3 linked regions of the Cricetulus griseus genome follow. The main gene of each other region encodes a partner of the protein of the gene in region 2 in a complex. Links are inferred from orthologs where the notes say so. Each region holds a gene or a part of one and is shown on either strand. Other genes may lie near its edges. The genes, in order: Anp32a, Trex1 and nucleoside diphosphate kinase A.

Evidence for each region.
Region 1: Trex1 (region 2) and Anp32a share a complex: the UniProt entries of both Homo sapiens proteins name them as parts of the SET complex. The link is inferred for Cricetulus griseus from reciprocal best matches to the Homo sapiens genes TREX1 and ANP32A.
Region 3: Trex1 (region 2) and nucleoside diphosphate kinase A share a complex: the UniProt entries of both Homo sapiens proteins name them as parts of the SET complex. The link is inferred for Cricetulus griseus from reciprocal best matches to the Homo sapiens genes TREX1 and NME1.

Annotation. Positions count from the first base shown.
Region 1 is NC_048597.1:173,856,518-173,863,171, reverse strand, and holds the start of Anp32a (acidic leucine-rich nuclear phosphoprotein 32 family member A), read right to left. Parts: upstream 3,746-6,654; 5' UTR 3,722-3,745; coding exon 3,668-3,721; intron 3,440-3,667; coding exon of another isoform or gene 3,243-3,439; intron 3,125-3,242; coding exon of another isoform or gene 2,992-3,124; intron 2,374-2,991; exon of another isoform or gene 1,279-2,373; intron 1,268-1,278; coding exon of another isoform or gene 979-1,267; exon of another isoform or gene 610-978; intron 1-609. Other genes in the region: uncharacterized protein LOC113835543, read left to right, coding at 979-1,267, 2,992-3,124, 3,243-3,439, 3,746-3,777. UniProt on the Homo sapiens protein: Multifunctional protein that is involved in the regulation of many processes including tumor suppression, apoptosis, cell cycle progression or transcription. Promotes apoptosis by favouring the activation of caspase-9/CASP9 and allowing apoptosome formation.
Region 2 is NC_048597.1:217,167,054-217,172,947, forward strand, and holds Trex1 (three-prime repair exonuclease 1), read right to left. Parts: upstream 3,769-5,894; 5' UTR 3,433-3,768; coding exon 3,350-3,432; intron 3,072-3,349; coding exon 2,123-3,071; 3' UTR 2,080-2,122; downstream 1-2,079. Other genes in the region: Shisa5 (protein shisa-5), read left to right, coding at 138-253, 420-632, 769-848; Atrip (ATR-interacting protein), read right to left, coding at 4,009-4,076, 4,474-4,723, 4,820-4,900, 5,316-5,407, 5,561-5,697. UniProt on the Homo sapiens protein: Major cellular 3'-to-5' DNA exonuclease which digests single-stranded DNA (ssDNA) and double-stranded DNA (dsDNA) with mismatched 3' termini. Prevents cell-intrinsic initiation of autoimmunity.
Region 3 is NC_048600.1:106,878,036-106,884,449, forward strand, and holds the start of nucleoside diphosphate kinase A, read right to left. Parts: upstream 4,391-6,414; 5' UTR 4,232-4,390; intron 3,582-4,231; exon of another isoform or gene 3,522-3,581; intron 1,663-3,521; exon of another isoform or gene 1,660-1,662; 5' UTR 1,656-1,659; coding exon 1,530-1,655; intron 1-1,529. UniProt on the Homo sapiens protein: Major role in the synthesis of nucleoside triphosphates other than ATP. The ATP gamma phosphate is transferred to the NDP beta phosphate via a ping-pong mechanism, using a phosphorylated active-site intermediate.

The sequences.
Region 1 (6,654 bases), about 43 Mb from region 2:
CTGCATGCAGACACTAGCCTACAGCCAGGGAGGTGCCTACCACACGCTTAAGTCCCACATCCGGACCAGCAATGGGAACAAATTGCCTGAGTCTTAAGTCAACACAAAAAGATTACTTTTTTTTTTTTAAAGGAAAGTCCTATTCTCTTTCGGTTTAGGGTGGAGGTTTACTTTGTAGTTAGCTACCTTCCCCGCCAAAACAAAAAGGAAAAAAGGAGAGGGGGGCAAAGGATAAATAGCGAGAGAGCTCCCCCAACCTGCAGGGTGCTGGACACCCACCTGAAACTCGACCAACCTTTCTAGGGAGCCCAGCCCCGGAGGGCGTTTCCCCAACGCATCCCGACAACTCGTCCCTCCCGGGTAGGAGGCCGACGCCCTCGACTTCAGTTAGGGCCACCAGACTGGCGAGCTTGAGCCCCCCTCCCGCCCTCCAGTTTCACCCCCACCCCCCAAACACCACCCCATCATTTCCGCCGAAGGCGCAAACACCAGAGCGATCGTTTCGCCTTCAAGGCCACCTTTCACTACGTGCAGAGCGCAGCGGGAGCCACGGCGGAAAACCGAGCGCGGGGGGGGGGGGGGTTGGAGGCAGGGAGCCAAGGCGGCGGCGGCGGGGGGCGGGGGGGGGCACGGGACAGGACTGGCTAAGGAGATCGTCACCTTCTCAGGGCTGCGATACCCTCGGGATCCTCAGACCCCGGGCGCAGGGTGGGGGCCCCCATAAGGCCAAACGCAAAAGTGGGGTGGGGTGTCCCTGGGGACAGTTCCCCCAGAAGCCACCTCGCTGGAGGGCGGCCGTCGGGGCGATGGCGCAAGCCTTTCGCCCCCCCCCCCCAGCGCGACAACAGACACGGTGACAAAATGGCAGCTCGGCGCCCAGCAGGCGAGCCACCGGCATAGAGCCGGGGCCGGCCGTCTCTGTACCCCGAGAATGCCAGGCACCCTGGGGCTGGGTCTCCCGCCGGCCTAGCAGTGCAAATGGCGAGGACAGACAGGGGTCTGCAGGTCCGAGCAGGTCGAGGGCCCCTGGCCCGCCGCGCTCTCTTCAGACCCGATCCCCAGGCCGGCGCCGCCGGGCTTCTGCTGCGCCTGTGCGCGCCCGGATCCCCTCCGCTGGGGCACCCGGGTCCCCGCCGAGTCGGGTCCGCGGCCGCCGTGGGGGAGGGGCGGGCCGCCGGCGCCCCGGGAAACATGGCTGCTCGTCCTAGTTCAGCGGCGTCGCGGCCACCAGTCCCCGAGATGCGACTTGGGAGAGAGGTAGCAGAAGGTGGGTGCGTGGGGGATACTCTGGGGAGGGAGGTTCCCCGGAACGATCTGCTTTCCAAAAACGTTTATTTGAAAAAACAAAAAACCAGAAAAACAACAACAAAAAAAGCCAGTTCCTCCTCCCCCACCCCTTTTGTCCCTCTTTCGAGAGCTTTCTGCCCTCCCCTCCCCCATGTGCAGCAAGTGCCCCCTCCCCCGCCACCCGCGCGCCCCACCCCGCCAGGAGCCCCGGGGCCGGCGAGTGGGCCGGGGACTCGAGGCGAGGGGGCGAAGCGTGAGAAATCGCGCCCAGCCCGGAGCGCCCGCCCCTCCCCCAGTGCACACACTCGGGGAAGTTTAAAGAGCCGGTTCGACCCGCTTTCTGATTCGCTCCGGGTTGGCTAGTACTGTGGGTCTCTCGGCCCGGCCCGGCCCGGCGCTTATGCGCACTTACTCGCCGAGACCCCGAAGCCCCCCAACTACATACAGGGGTCTTCCGGAAAGTACGCGGGAAGCCCGCCTTCGGCCCCCTCCCCCAGCACCACACCCAGCCCCCTCCACCTCCGGGATCGGGCACCGGGGCTGGGTCGGGACGCCACCGGCCGTGCCCCGCGGCAGGACTTGCTGCCGGCGGCGCCCCCTCCTCTCCGCCCTGCGCGCCATAAGGCTGTAGCACGTCTCCAGTGCACAACTGCGTGAGGATGGGCGGACGGCAGAAAGGAGCTTGTTTTCAAAAGTCTTACTCAGGTTTGGAGGGAGGAACTAGGGGAAAAGAGGAAACGAGGCCTGCCTTTGTCAGGATTCGAGGGGCCAAGTGGCTGGCGGGGCGACAGGGTCAGTGCAACGTGCTGCGCGAGCCCCCCAACTCGCCCGAACCCCGAACACCCAGGCTGGACCTAGAGGATCTTCCCGCCCGCGAGCCCCTTCTCCTCACGACCGGACCTTGAAGGGAAGCCGGCCGGGGTTTCCACCCCAGAGCTTAGGGTCTCTCGGATGGACCAACTCGCAGACAACACGAGTGTGTGAAAGCGAGAGGGAGACAAAAATAAACAGTAGCGTTCGAGTCACCCACCCACCCTCACTTCCCATTGCAGTGGGCTAGCGCCCAGCCTGCCTATTCCCACCGGTGTAAGTTTCCTCCTGCCATACTCCCGCCGCTACCCAATCCATAACGGCTACGGCCAGACGAACTGCCCATTCCAGAGCTGCGTGCCAGCCGTGCCCGCAAGAATGTAGACCCGGCCGGTCCCCAAAGCAGCACCAGCTCTGGGCACCTCGGGTCCTGATAAAGTTTCCCGTGCCCATTTATTAATCAGGCGCCGAATGGCTGCCAGGGAGCCCACCCCGGGAGAAGCAGGGACCCGGAGGTGGGGTAACTGGTGCCGTTGGGGTATCAGGGTGCCAAGGCTTGCATCTGGGGAGGTAGCCGGGGGCCAGAGGCTCACCGGGACGCAGCCTTTGGGCAACTTACACTAGCGATCGCTCGTGGTTGGGGAGGCGTGAGGATTATCTGAGCATTTGCACACTCCACAATCCCTCCCCCTCCTTCTAAGGTAACCCCCCCCCTTTCCGCGAAGAAGAAGGGAGAAAAGACAGCATCTGGCCCAAAGGTGGGGTGGAAAGAGTGAGAGAGAAAGGAGAAGAAGGAAGGCAGGCAGAGAAAGAGAGGGAGGGAGAGAAAGGGCGCGTTCACGAACACGACAAAGTTACAAATATGGCTCCCCACCTCTCGCCTCATCCCCGCAGAGAAACGAAGACGCGCTTTAAACTCGAGCCATCTCCCAACTCCGCAGCAGCCGGGTCCCCACGCGCTGTCCCCGGGGGCCTCGGGCCACATTGATCAGAAACTAAACCGGACTCGCGATTCCCAAAACTTATTGTGTGCGAGAGAACCAGCGAGCGAAAGAGACGGCAAAGGGAGGGGGCAGGCGCGAGAGGGGGCGGAAAGGGGGGTACGTTTCTAAAATATAACACCCCCTTTTTGTTGTTTAATCCAGGAGGCAGCCCATCTTCTCCTCCCCTCAATCATCTTTTCCATCCAGACGCGAGTCGTGGGAGCTGAGAGCTCGGACGAGGGTGAGATCGCAGCGTTCCCTCCGACCCGAACGCGTGCGCCCCGCCGGCCCCCCGCTGGGTGCACATTCGTACGCACACCCTCGCACCCATACCCGCACACGCGGGAGCACACGCACAGGTAGTCAGTCACACACCAAGGGCAGCGGCAGCGGTGGCCAGAACATGCTCCGATGGCATTGCAACCCCCCCCCCATCCAACCTTGCAATTCATTTGCAGTCCAACCCTAAACCCTACACCTCCTCGGAGCCCACCTCCATAAAAAAGTGCCTTCCCCCCCAAAACACACGCACACATAACACAAAGTAGGAGAATGGACCGACAGAGATATTTTTGGCAAATGCTCACATCAGAGGGCGTCCTGTTCCGCAGCTCTAAATGAATCCGTTTGTCCATATCCATCTCTCGCGCTCTCTCTCTCTGCAGAGGATCCTGCGCCAGCGGAATTCAATCAATAAACCCCGAACCCACGGCCGCGCGTTTTAGGACTTTGAAGGCTCAACCAGCTCCGCTCGGTTCTCGAGCCCCCAGCACCCGCGGCGCACACTAACCTGATCGCCGTGGAGGCGGAACCTACGGCTCCGGCGTGGAGTGGCGGCAGCACGAACCAATCGAGTGGCGAGGCTTCTGATGCCAGCCAATAGTGGTGGCGGCGGCGGGGGGCAGGGTCCAATGGGCGGCCTGCGCAGCGGGCCAGGGAGGCTCAGCCATTTGGCTGTGGTGCCGGAGACGGACCCCTTTAGATACCCGGGCGACCGAGGAGGAGCGCGGCTGCCGCTTTGGTGGCTGCGCGCGGGGGGCGGGAGGGAAGGCAGGGCAGGTGCGTGGACCTGAAGGTTCGTGGCCGGGGCGGGGCCGCAGGTGCGTGGACGCGGGAGGGGCGGGGTCCTCACGGGGGCATCCTCTGGGTGCTTAGCGGGCAGACGAGGCCTGGGGCGCGCGGGCGCAGGGCAGGCCTAGGGAGGGCGTGCGTTCTGGGGGCGCACGAAGGACAGATCACACCCCGGGCTGCCTGCTCGACGCATCCCTTCGGACTAGATCTTCTCCCATCCCGCAATTAAATAAGCAAGTCTAAGCGCATGATGTTCCTACCGTCTGAGGAGCGAGGGCGGGATCTCGACCCAGAAGCTTGGCATTCTGATCTCCTGCCAGGGCAGCCTTACAAGAGGCGATTCCCCGAGAGCCACTGGAGATCTTGTGTAGGGCAATAAATGAATGAAAAGGCTGCGGATGCAGAGCTGTATACAATATTAGGAAATGCGAAAGGTGCTAGTAACTGCCGATTCGCAGAGCCGAACATAATTTACGGGTTTTATAGGTTTTGTTGAGAGCGTCGCACGATTTCTTTCTCATCGTCCACCAGTCGTTTGGTTAGATCTGAGTTGCCAAGGAGTCGCTAACTGTAGCATTTATCCAGGTGTTTCGGTTGCTTTGGGTTTTGTTTTTGTTCGAGCAAGTTACGTTTTTAATAGACCTTAAAAGCCCCGGTTCCCACTGGGTTATCAGCTTCTTATGAGCCACCCTGGGACCTCATGTACAGCGTGGATATCTGTGGCTGTGGACAAATCACGGGGATGACTGTCAACAGGGACTCATGTTTAACTTCATCCACACAACTATCATAGTATCCTTTTCTCTTGTTTCTTCTTCCTCTATCGTAAACACCCCAAGGTAGTTTTATCTTTTTCGCATACATTGGAACTGAGCATTTTATTCAGTAAATTCTTTTAGATCAAATAATAGTTGAACTTGGAAGCCGATAAATGTTTATTCTAAGTAACTGGAAGTACAAAATAAAAACATGACATCTGGGTGAATATGGCATAATTTCTTTAAGTTGTCCATTTAACATATCCTTAGATTTTGTTAATTTTTATGAAGGCCGTGTAACTGGAATTTTTCAATTGTATTGGTTCCTTTTTAAAACACAGGGGACTGCAAATTACCTCTTTGCCATTGAATCAGTTTTATTTCTGTATATGATAGTTAATGTTTTCAAAACAATAGTTTTAGCCGGGTGTTGATGGCACACGCCTTTAATCCCAGCACTCCGGAGGCAGAGGCAGGCGGATCTCTTGAGTTCGAGGCCAGCCTGATCTCCAGAGCGAGTGCCAGGATAGGCTCCAAAGCTGCACAGAGAAACCCTGTCTCCAAAAAACCAAAAAACAAAACAAAACAAAACAATAGTTTTACTTCACAAGTATATTAAGAGGGGATGGTGTGCAGAATCTATACAACAGGAGTCTTGAATTTCATGCTCTTTGGAATGGTAAATGCTCATTCACCACTTAAACCCTGGACCACACTTGAGGTCCCTGCTAACAGCAGTGTTGTGGGAGAGTCCTTTCCACAGGAAAGGTGCCCCTTTCTATCTCTGCTAAGTAGACCAAACAGCCCACTTGACAGAGACAGAAGAGAACTACTTGGGATCGCAACCCCACCCCCATAACCACTCCACATATACACCCTTAATGGAGAATATACAGAAACAAAATTATGAAAAGGCAGGCATTTCATATGATCTGAAGAGAAACCAGAATACTAGAGACTAAATGAGGATGGGAAAAAAAAATGGTGACCTCATCACTGAAAGTGTTAAATATAACTTGGTTTTGGAGCACCTTAACTTTACAGTTTTTGAATAACTGCTTTTGTATTTAGTGTCACAAAACTAGAAGATGGCTTTCTCTGGATGTCAGTCAGTATAGAAGCTCAAAAATCAAAGCACTTTGAGTATTGCCACCTGCTAGTGCCTGCTGAAGGAAGAAAGTTCCTTTGGCTTGTAGTTTATCTACAAAGTTTTAATAGGACTTTGGTGGTTAATAGGACTTCCATGGTTCAATAGGACAGCTCAGACATTTGCCCTGTAAGACTTGGGTATATATCCACACATGTGAATGTGTGCAATTATTATTTACAGGGTTATTATAGTTTTATTGTGTATTATAGTAGTAGTGCTGCTCTGCATCAATCTGCATTTCAGGAAGGCAGTGAGAGAAGGCTTCCTGTGGCTTCTTGGAGGAACTTTTATATGGATAGGGAACAGGTGCTGTCCCTCCTTACAGAGGGAACCAGCAGCAGGCGTTGATTGGGTGATGAGGGATAGGCAGTCTGCAACAGGGTTTGTGTTCTGCTGAGAATTGATGAGATGCAAATCAAGTTTTGAGCCCTTATAGAAAGGGGTGGCCGTCAAATAAGAAGGGCACCTTCCTCCAAGGAAGCCATCAAGAAGCAACCCAAACTAATGAGCAGCCACTTCTCAAAGATAAGAGCAAATGGCTGTCCCCACCACCCTGCTTTTGTTGTTTTGTTTTTTGTTTTTCCAGACAACGTTT
Region 2 (5,894 bases):
CTGTAACAGATTTATATCACACTACTGGGAACTTTCTTAGAGTCTCTTGCTGAGCTGGGTGCCCCTGGGAACAGGTGGAGAGGGGGTTGCTGGTCACAGAAAAGAGGAAAACTTGGTTACGACCAGCTCTTCGGCAGGTTTGGAGCGACTGTCGCCATTGGCCTGACAATCGTTGTGGTGTTCATCGCCACCATCGTCATATGCTGTACCTGCTCCTGCTGCTGTCTGTATAAGATGTGCCGCCGACCACGCCGTAAGCTTGCCCTTCCCCACCTTGCCTGCCTGTGCCCCTCCCTGTATGAACTTGCCAAGCCCAGAGACCTGACCAGAACCCTGTTTTGGCTAAGCTGGAGGGATGGAGGGGGCAGGCCTGGCCTAGGGAGTCATAAGGTTTTGACTAATCAGGACTCTCTTTGCAGCTATAGTGACCAACACCACAACCACCACCGTGGTTCATACCCCTTACCCTCAGCCTCCAAGTGTGGCGCCCAGCTACCCTGGACCAACATACCAGGGCTACCACCCCATGCCCCCCCAGCCAGGAGTGCCAGCAGCACCCTACCCGACACAGTACCCACCGCCCTACCTGGCCCAGCCCGTGGGACCACCAGCCTACCATGAGACCTTGGCTGGTGAGTACCACTGTGGGTACCCTGCATGGTCCCCAACTCAAGTCTCTGTTCCTAGGGTCCCTTCCTGCTAACTTGCATCCCATCTATACTGCAGCCCAATGTCCCCACAGCTAACCTATGTCCTCTTTACTTTCAGGAGGTTCATCTGCACCCTACTCTGCCAGTCAGCCTCCATACAATCCGGCCTACATGGACCCCCCAAAGGCAGTTCCCTGAGCCTGCCCCCGCCTCTTTGGCTGCCATTTGATTGTCATGTGTGAGTGAGTGGCATGCAGTTCTTTACTGCTCTCTGGGGTGTATGTGCCTTGTCTAACCCTGTGACTCCTGATGCTGACCAGGTAGGCACAAACCCTTACCAGTGTGGCTTGGGACCAACCTGTTTTCTTCCTCACTTGAATTATACTTTCTGAAATCTCAAGTAAATTAGAAACATTGGGGTAGGAGGTATTTCCCAGTTCACCCCAAGGTGACCAGCCATGGCCTGTCACACTTAGGAGAGTAAGCTTTTTGTGGGCACATGTCCTGCTCTGGGGAGTAACCAGCTAGCTGCTGGTCAGGGCCATGGCTTGTCCCCAGGGGTTGGCTGCATTTTGCAGTGAGGCAGGTAGGTGGGCAGAACAAGGGGCCTGGCTGAAGCTCAGTGTCGTGCGTGGGTCAGCTCCCAATGTTAAAGCACACCAGACAGCCTCATCTACTCACCATCAGTTGTCTGGACTGTCCCGGTGGCTTTCCTAGGACTATGTGGAGGGCTACATGCACTCAGCATTCAGGCTTCAGTGAGGAAGTTTTTCTACCTTTGCTGCCTGGCTCCTGCCACTAGGCAAGGGGCCTCTGTCTACCATGGCTTGTTTCTACTTGCACTGCCTTGTTTTACTTTTAGCCAAACATTTTGCCTGTTTTCTGCCTCGAGATGTGCTAGTTGGTGTGAGGTTGAAATCCCTGGTTCCTGGAGGATAACCTGGCCTCTGATAATCTGTTTCCCTTGACACCAGCTTCATAGAATACCTGACTCCTGTATAGCACCAGAGATGCCAGGGCCAAGGGGCTATCTGGACCAAAGGTGGGGTGGAGGGCATAGACGGGAGCTCTGGCCCAGACATGAATACTTTACCTCGGTGTTCCCTGTGGATTGCTGTTCCAATAGCTGTCCTAGCTCTGTGTCTGTTGTGTATTTTGGAGCATCCAGGCTCTGTACCTTTGTTTATAATAAATGCAAACATTTGGGCCTACTTCCTCTTTCTTCAGAGCCTGGGCTGCTAGCCTCGGCTATATCACCAAATACTGTTTTTATCTGTCTCTTGAACTTGGTTTCCCCTACTTTTATTAGCCAGGTAGGTTTGATTATCCTGCTAAGACAGCAAGGGGCTGAAGCTGGGCCTCGCTCGTCCCCAGGGCCCTGAATGTGGGCAGAGGCCCAGGCTGTGAAGAAGTGGAGGCAGCAAGTACCTGTCAGTGCTGTGGGGGTCTTTATTAGTCAGATTTTCCTTGGTTTATTGCCCAGGTGAGGCCAAGAAGAATCCATACAGCATGGCTACCGCCAAGGTCAGGAAGGCCAGCAGGCTCAGTGGGGCCAGCAGCTCCTCTGATGGGGTTTCTGGGACCTTTGCTGGAGGAAGATTCTTGGGTTGCCTGCTCCTGCCATGGCTGGGACTTGTGTTGGTTGTGGTCAGGGATGTAGTGGTTGTGGCAGCATATGGCCTTGGCTTGGTTGTTCCAGCAGTAGCTGCAATATCATACATGGGTTTGATGGTGCTAAAGGGCCGGGCATGTTTATCCACCCACTGCAAGAGGGCCCGTGGCTTCCACTGACAGATGCTGAGCAGGGCTAGAACATCACCTTCAGCAGTGTGTGAGTCTGTTGGTGCTTGCCCATACAGGCGGGTATAGATGCTGCCCAGGCTGTAGCTCTTCCTTGGACCACGCTCTGAGGAGCTGCTAGCTTGTTCCAAGGCCTTTAGGGCAGCAATGCTATCTACACAGAAGGTACCATCTAGAGGACTTCTAATGGTCAGCATAGCAAGCTCTGCCTGGAGCAGGGGAAAGTCGTAACGGTCACCATTGTGTGCCACAAGGCAGCAGGGCTGTGGCTGGCGCTGCAGGAAGGCTTGGAGCAGGTTGGCCAAGCTGTCATCAAAGGGTTGCCGTCCATTTGCTTCCAGTTCAGCTGTGTTCAGACCTGTGATCTCACTGGCTGCAGGGCTACAGGCTTTCCCTGGAGCAATGCATAGAGAGAGCTTGTCCACCACACGGGGTGGTTTGGGCACTGGAGGTGGCTGTCCCGCAGAGATGGAGGTGTTTTCCAGGGCACATCTATGGACAGCCAGCAGACACAGCTCTGTGATCTTGGGCTGAGAAAAAGGCAGGCCAGTGGCTTCCAAGTCCAAGAAGATGAGGGTCTGCATGGGACCGAGGGGCAGAGCCTGTGAGCCCATGCTGAGCCTGGGAAGGAGCATGGGGTAGATGAGTGCCAGCAGAGTCTACAGTGGGCCAGGACAGGGATAGGGTGTGGGCAGAAGCACAGCTCAGGCCTTCCCTTCAGTCAGGCACTATCCAGGGCCCATTTTCAGAGCAGGGGCTAGAAGACAGGGTTGTTTTCCTAGTGGGCTGGGCATACTACTATCCTTTTGAGGCAGGAGCCCTTCCCCTAGTGCTGACCACCCTCAGGGTGAGGGAAACCTTTTCTTTTCTTACCCCATATCCTTAAGGTCCACACTTACCGAGAAGCAGGCAGCAAGGCACTGTGTTGGTTCTGCTGCTGGCAGCAGTGGCTCAGGAAGTGAAACTGCCTGGGTCTGCCCATAGGCCTGCCTTCTGAACAAGGCCCGCCCAGCTAGTCATCCCAGGCCTGGCCCTCACATGCTAAAGCCCTCCCTCTCTCTCCAAATACCCCAAAGGCCTTAGATCCATAGCTGTGATCCCAGTTGGCTGATAAAACAAGACTAGTGCTGCCACACTGACAACGCTCTTAACCTTTGCTTGTCTCCAGGGTTCAAACACTCCTGCAAACCTCTACCATGGCTTTCCTTGCCTTTCCTAGTCCTTGGGCCACTTTCCCAGGCCTTCCTAGGGAAGGGCTGCCTTCTCTGCTACACACAAAGTTTTTCCCATGGCTCCAGCCCAAAGCTATGACTCAGGGCAATTCCCGAAGAGGGGTAGGGCATTTCCTCAAGGCAGATTAGTTACCATGGGGACCATCTCAACTCCAGTAAGGGGAGGGAGGTAGTTCCTAGTCTTCTCTGTCCCTCGCTCTCAGTCACACAAACTAGACTCAGGAAACAAAGCTGTTGTTCTCAGCAGGAACTGCAGTTTTAATCAGTGGATATGGCAAAGACAGTGGTGGGAGCTGGTGCCACCTTGTGGCCGGCTGCTCAGGCCGTCAGCTACAGTCCATTTCAGAGTCTTCCAAATCTGTCTCCGCAGCACAGAGGTCATCCAGGGCTGCCTCTGAACCAAAAGGAAGAGGGTTCTGAGGTTAAGCCTGATAGTGCTGAGGCTTGGAGGTCTACCCATCCTCCCCTAGCAGCACAGGAACTAACCAGTCCCTTCCATGCCCAAGCTTTGCTCCCTCAGCTACTGTGAGCAAAAGTGATACAAAAGCAATTCAGACAGATATATTCTGGAAAAACCATGGCTCAGCTAGGCCAATTCAATGGACATGATCAAAGGACAACCTAGTATACTCAAAGAACCAGAGCAGGAAGGTAATGTCCACAGTGCCAGAAAAATGGCTCTGGTGGTGGTGGTGGGGGGGGGCACTGAGGCCTAGCAAAGGAACTTGCCATCTCATGAGCCTCAGGCAGAGGCTCATAAAGGCTCGGGCAGGGTCCTCTTGCTGGCTTACCTTCACAATCGGCTACATCAGGAAGGGCTCGAATCAGCATGCTGACCCCTGGCATCACCTGGTCATACTGATGCAGGACCTCCACACAATGCACAGTAAAGAACTTGTCCTTCTGAGACAGGCTATGCAGCAGCAGCACAGTGTCCCTCAGACAGCGCATCGTCTGCTTCTGCTGGGGGGTCCTTGGACCCCCTGCCCGCCGCACAGTCAGCCATTGTCTGTGCAACATCACAGTGAGCACTCTGACTGCCTGGGGTGAGAGAGGGCACAGACCGAGGTCTAAGGACTCACTCAGCCTAGCCACTTACCCAACTGAGCTGGCATGTTGCGGCCCCTGGCCACTCACCTCTACGTTGCATTGGCAGTCAGAACCAATGCCTGGCAGGGAAGGACTCTGCACACTCAGCTTGGCCAAAAGCCATACCACCTGGAATGAGAAGAGATGGCTTGTCACTTGCAGAACCCGACACTTGTCACCAGGGCTTTCTCGGGCATTTCTAAGAAGCTCTAGCTACTTCTCCAGCTGTTTGCTTACACAAGTGGGGGCTGAGTAGTGGTGGTTCGAGGCTTTCAGACCCGAATCTCATCAATAGCTTACCTACTTCTGGGGCCAGGATCAGGCCCCCCAAACCAGGCAGCAGCATCAGGCAACTCTGCTGAGTCCATTGTAATCCTGGGTACATTTGTATTGTATCTGTGTGAGGAACCCCTAAATCTTACCTGTTGTGGTTCGACAAACTAATCAAAATCAAGTGTAGCTCCTGTTTTCCCACAGGAGGAAAGACCCTGGGCTCTTAGGAAGGGGGTGAGGGGTGCACAGTCTCTCGGTCTCCCCATCTTACCTCTTGTTCCAGCTGAAGCCACTGTGTCTCTGAGGCCACTTTGTCAGGCCTTGACGTAATGTACATGTACAGCCTCAGGAGAAGGCAGCCTTCTGAAAAGGATGCCCAGCCTTACTCAGCATCTCCCTTTTCACTGGAGCCTGGGGTCCAAGTGCAGAAGCCCCCCGAGAGGCTCTGAACCTGTCCCTGCGCCAAACCCTCCCTTCCATGACAGGATAGTTGAGAGCCAGCCTGGCCTGCTTTACCTGAGTGGAAGCACAGCTGCTGTGCAAAGCTGTCATGGTCCACCAGAAGGGAGAGCAGCTCAACAGCCAGTAGCACACACGGCAGTGGCAGCTCTGAGCTGAGGCACTGTGGCAACATCGGCAACACACAGGAGAACCTGAAGGATGGGCACAGTTACGACACTCTGCAAAAGGACACTTAATGCAGTCAGACAAGGGTTTAAATGCTGGCCTGACCATGGCCTATTGCTTCAAGATTGTCACAGGTAGACAGGTATTAACCTTTACAAGACTGCTGTGACTTAAAAATAACAGGCCCTCAGTGGGGGTGGGGGGTACATGCCCATAATCTCAG
Region 3 (6,414 bases), on a different chromosome or scaffold from region 2:
AGTTTACTCCTAGCAACTATGAGGGCAGAAATAAGTACCTCTCAGAGCTGTCATGACAGATGGAGAAGAAAACTTGTATACTTAGCATATACTATGGTGCTTAACAAATGACTGGTTCATTTCATTGTGTCTTCAGAACCTGAACCCACATCCGCTCTCATAATTCTATCATACTCCCCCTTAGCATTAACAATAGTCTACTCCTTATACTAAAAAATTACATAAGAACAAAATTGCCGGGCAGTGGTGGTTGACACCTTTGATCCCAGCATTTGGGAGGCAGAGACAGGCAGATCTCTGTGAGGCTGAATCCAGCCTGGTCTACAGAGTAAGTGCCAGGACTGCCAGCCAGGACTACATAGAGAAACCCTGTCTTTAAAATAAACAAACAAACAAACAGTGGCTGGAGAGATGGCTCAGTGGTTAAAAGCACTTGCTGCTCTTGCAGAGGCCCTGAGTTTGGTTCTCACACCCATATCAGGTGGCTCACAACAATTTATAACTCCAGTTCCAGGGGTTCTGATACCATCTCCTGGCCTCCACATGCACCTGTACATATATGGTGCGCATTACACACAAACAGGCACACGTACATACTCATAAATACAAATTAAAAAAAAAAAAACAAGAGTGCATCTGAGCACAGTAGTACACACCTTTAATCCCAACACTCTGGAGGCAGAGGCAGCACTCTGTGAGTTAGTGGCTAGCCTGGTCTACAAAGAAGGTTCCAGGCTAGCCAGGGCTATTCAGCTAACTCAAAAACAGCAGCAAAATAATAATGAAATAAAAACTCAACATTGAAAATTAAATTGAACTCAAAATACACTATGAACCAAAAGTGTATTGCTAGAATGGGAAAAAAATATGGTGCCCCCTAATGTATTTGCTTTGAGAACTAGAATTCACATCTCATAGATCTGCTTGAAGAAGAGTTCTTGGCCAATGAATTCTTGGTATTTATTGGAATATTGTTATCTGAGTGGATGATGACTTATGCACAGAACCCCAGGACTCAGAATACTGAGAAAGGAAGATCACCAAGAGTATTAGAATTGTTTCCTTTCTCTGTTCTGTGAGGAGCCCCCACAAGCAAAATTGCAGCTTTCCCTACAAAGCCCCACGTATCATGCCTGACTCATGCTAGGCACTATCAGGTAGTAATTAGTAAAGCAAAGATTTTCTTCCTGACAGCCTATCTTGAAGGCCGTGGGGGTGGAAGGATAGTCTCTAAAATTATCTGTTCAGGAGGCTAGAGACCAAGAGCTCCAAAACACTCACAGAGCTGAGTCAGAAATTACAGATCTGCAGTAATACGTGGAATTCTACAATGTTAGGGGTAAAGACAGACTAGTTTTGAAAGCCCCAAATGACTTGGTTTGTTCCAAGATTCAGCCAACATGCTTGGTCACTGAGAAGACACCCTACCATGGGGAAGTCTAGACAGGAAACAAAGCAAACACAGAAGTTACTCTGCAATATTCTACTATATTCCAAATACCAAAACAGGAAATGTGAGGTCCACTCACCTGCATAAATTTCAGGCCAACAAGTCGGAATCCCTTCTGTTCAAAACGCTTGATGATCTCGCCCACCAGACCCCGCTGGACCCCATCAGGCTTGATAGCAATGAAGGTGCGCTCACTGTTGGCCATGGTCCTGGAGAGATAAGCAGGGAATGAAACAGGACAGAATCTCTACCCTCCCTCATCATGATCCTTCTCAAGCGGATTACTCTCTCATAAAACTGGATTTAATATATTATGTCTACTTTAAGTCTCTCTAGTAAAATCCCAATCCCTGCCCAGTTCACTCATCAATGAATTTTGATCTGAAAGTAGAAAAGGGTTCAAAAGAAGAAATGTAATTTCTAATCTACTTGATTTCATACACTCCTATTGAGCTTCTGTTATGTACTTAATACTGTGATAGAACTAAAAAGGGAGACATAAAACTAAGACACACTAAAAAGATACCAATTTTTTTTTTCTTGTGGTAATACCAGTAAGGGGAAAATGCAATGATATGGTTTTCCTACTGAAAGTTACATCTGATTCAACACAGTATGACCAACAGCATTAGAACCCACAAGAGTTTTAGAGACTATGTCATAACAACCACCTTTGGGGGCTGGAGAGATGGCTCAGAGGTTAAGAGCACTGACTGTTCTTCCAGAGGTCCTGAGTTCAATTCCCAGCAACCACATGGTGGCTCACAACCACCCGTTATGAGATCTGGTTTCCTCTTCTGGTGTGCAGATATACATGGAAGCAGAATGTTGTATACATAATAAATAAAAAATAAAAAAAAAAAACCAACAATCTTCATTCTACAAAGAATAAGATTTCCCAGCCCTATACAGTTTGGGATACTCCCTAAGATGTAATGACTGAGGATGTGTGCCAATAATCCTACCACTAGGAAGGCTAAGGCCAAAGGGCAGAGGATTCCAGGCTGGCCTGGGCAACCTAAAACCCTGACTCAAAAAAGAAAAAAGGGGAATGAAAAGAAAATAGAGCTGAGCGTAGTGGGGAGGTGTGGTAGCCCATGTCAATGATCCCAACCTGAACTGAGCTACATAAGACTCTGTTTCAAGAAACAAGAGAAAAGAGAGAAAAGATGCAATGACTATGCTCCATCACAGAAGGGGAGGGACTCATAGGCCCAAGGCCTTACCCCTGCCTAGGAAGCTAACGGTGATTAACGGCTGTGGGTGAGTGGGTATCATTTTCTTCAGGGATACAGCCATGGGTAAGCTGCTCCAGCAATTAACTCCTCCATCAATGAAGCACGCAATTCTAATTAAACTCAGTCTCCCCCCCAACACACACACACACACACACACACAAAGACATGAAGGTAGGAGGGGACTCACAGGAAAGGAGTTCAACAGGAACAGGAGAGCCAAAGATTGTAATGGAGGAGGGGGATGACTAACTATTACATACATGTATAAAACTGTCAGAGAATAAAAGGACAAGAAAATTGAAGGTCCATTAGTAAGAATAGCAATTAACATTTATTAAACTGTGTACTGGGGGAAAGTGCAATGAGTAGTCAATGAACAGTGGCTTATGGGAGACCCACAGCACAATTCATCATCACTGAGGGAAGACACCTGGAGAGCATCCATTCCAGAACCTTCCATTTCCAGGGAACACAATCCCACAAAATGAAAGAAGACTCCACCTTGAAAGACAATACCTAAGAGGATAGAAACACCAGCTCCTGGACCTGGCTGCCTAAACATGAATTAACCTCTGATTTTATACATTAAGAATGGGGCCTGCGACGGGCGGTGGTGGCGAATGCCTTTAATCCCAGGTTTCGGGAGGCAGAGGCAGGCAGATCTGTGAGTTAGAGACCAGCCTGGTCTACAAGAGCTAGTTCCAGGACAGCCTCCAAAGCCACAGAGAAACCCTGTCTCTAAAAGCCAAAAGTAAAAATAAATAAAATAAAATAAAGAATGGGGCCTGACCCAGCTAGATGGTTCAGTGAGCAAAGGTTTTTGTACCACAAACCTGAGTTTGGTCCCTCGGGCCCATTCCACGAAGTTGTCTTCTGGTGTGTTCACAAGTGTGCTAAGGCATGCATGCACAGGAACATACAATAATACATAATCTTTTAATGATCATTTCTGTTGGTGCCTTCCTCCCCTCTCCCGCCTCTCGGATCTGTGACCTGCATAAAAGAGTTGATCTACTCCAGCCCCTGCTTTGATTCCAAGCCACAGGGCCTGGCAGTCAATAGGAGCAAAGAAGATGCTTTAAAAGGCCAATCATGCCTTCCGAAGACAGACAGAACCCGCAGACAAGCTGGAGAATCTCTGAAGGAATGTGGAACAAGAATAGATCCCTCAGAAACAGCCCCTATGAAAGGCTCTGCACACCGAACACAGACACACAGACACAGACACACACACACAGACACACAGACACACACACGCACACACACACGTGTCATTTATTCAGCAAGCTCTGCGCTCAGCACAGGGCTGGAAGGAGGGTAAGGCACAGCCGTGCCGGCGCAGTCTGACAGGAACTGCGGCCACAGACAAAGGCGAGCCCACGTGTCAGGCTGACAGGTCTGCACCTGTCCACAGTCGAGGCCGCGATCTTCCTCAACGCCTCTCAGAGAATGCACCCCTTTCCCTTCATTTCACACCCACCTCCCTCTCCGCTTACCTAGGCCCTCAACGTTCCCTTTCCCTCAGCACCCGAACCCCTCTCACCCCTTCAGAAGCCAGTCTCTCTCTCCGGCTGCACCGGAAACACGTCCTGGCCTCACGTGGTTTCGAGCAGCGGCTCGCACGGAACCTTTCGGAACAGTTCTGATTCAGGAGAGCCCTTTTGGTGGAACACCGCCAGTCCCCGCTTCCTCCGGTGAGTAGGAGGGCACTCTTTCCAGGGTTTAACTTCCGGCACTGGGTGTGGTTTTTGTTTTTGTCGTGTGTATCCCCCCGCCCCCTCCCCGGCTTTTCCGGCTGGCGGCCATCTTTTGTTCCTGCCCCTACTGTCGTGTAACTCACTTCCTCCGTTCCCGAGACGATTTGGTTGCCCGGGAGGTGGCGCTCACACTGCACGGAATAGAACTAAAGCCCCAGTCACTCCGCTTCTCTTCGCCCTGTCAAGCAGCAAATGTACTAAATACTATGTGCCCAGCAGGCACTGTTCTAGAACCCAGGGATAAAGCAGTAAACTCACTTGAGGTTTCTGGGAGGGTTGAAAATTGGGACAAACAATGAAAAGAAATTGATAGTGAACGCACGGAGTTATGTAAGTGCTGTGAAGAAAGATCAGAGCAGGGAAGAAAAATAAGGTTGAGAAATCGCTGCAGAAGTGAAAATCAAATAGACCTACATGAAGTTTAGTGATAAAGGAGCAAGCCTATTATTAGAGAGCGGAGAATTATAGTAGCCTTGGATGGTAGGAAACTCAGTAGAAGAATTTTTTTATTGTTGTAAGAGGATTTTTTGGTTTCCTGAGACAGAGTTTCTCTGTAGCTTTGGAGGCTATCCTGGCACTCACTCTGTAGACCAGGCTGGCCTCGAACTCACAGAGATCCTCCTGCCTCTACCTCCCGAGTGCTGGGATTAAACCACCAACGCCCCACAAAGCTTTCTCCTCCTATACGTCTTTTGTTTTCTTTTTCGAGACAGGGTCTCTCTGTATTTGCTTTGGAGGTTGTCCTGGAACTTGCTCTGTAGACCAGGCTGGCCTCAAACTCACAGAGATGTAAGAGGATTTTTTTTTAATTATTATTGTTTTGTTTTGTTTTTTCGAGGCAAGGTCTCACTATGTAGACCCAGCTGATCTCTAACTCTTAGAGATCCACCTGTCTATGTCCCCTGTGTACTAGGATTAAAGGCGTCTCATCTGGTATTATTTGTGATTGTTTATGTGTTCATGTGTATGTCTATGTTTGAGGTGGTCAACCCCCCCCATAAGCTCATAGCACTATTAGGAGATATGGCTTTGTTGGAGTGATTAGAGAAAGGGTGTCACTATGGAGGTGGGCTTTGAGGTTTCCTATGCTCAGGATACCCCCCACTACCTGTCAACTTCCTGTTGCCTTCAGATCAAGGTGTAGCCAGCACCAAGTCTGCCTGTACACTACCATGTTCCCTGCCTTGAAGATAATGGACTGAATCTCTGAACTATAAGACACCACCTTAATTAAATCTTTTCCTTTTTAAGAGTTAAAGTGGTCATGGTGTCCCTTCACAGCAATAGAGACCCAAACAAAGATAGAGAGGTGTCAGATCCCCAGGAGCAAGAGTTACAAACAGTTGTGAGTAATCTGATGTGGGTGCTGGGGATCGAACTCTGGTTCTCTGCAATAACAGTAGGTGCTCTATAACCATAAGGAATCTTGTCACCATGCCTAGCCTAGTCCAGCAAGCTTTGGTTTAGCTTTGTTCGGTTGGTTAGTTAGATAGTTAATTGCTGGTTTTGTTTATTTGTGGTTTGTTTGGAAATAGAGCCTCTTGTAGCTCAGACTGACCTCAAATTTATTTTGTAGCTAGCCTATTTCTGTATGTTGACTGTGATGGCAATTGTACACATATAACAAAGTTTCAAGAAATCATAAATGAGCACAGGGAAAACTGTTGAGGGCAGAATTTTTGTGGGTAACAAGAATGACAGTTTTCTGGATTTGTTTATGTTTTGCTTTGGTTTGGTTTGGGTTTTTGTTTTCCTTGTTGTTTGGAGGCAGTTGCTCTATATAGTATTTAATGCACTATGTAGCCCAGGATAGCCCACAACTTACAGAAGTACTACCTTAGCTCCCCAAATTCTGGGATTATAAGCATGAGACACCATGTCCAGCTTAAGTCCTTGGTTTAAGTTTAAGTTTTGTTATTGTTTGTTGTTTGAGACAGTTTCTCTTATAGCCCTGGTTGGCCTCAAAGTT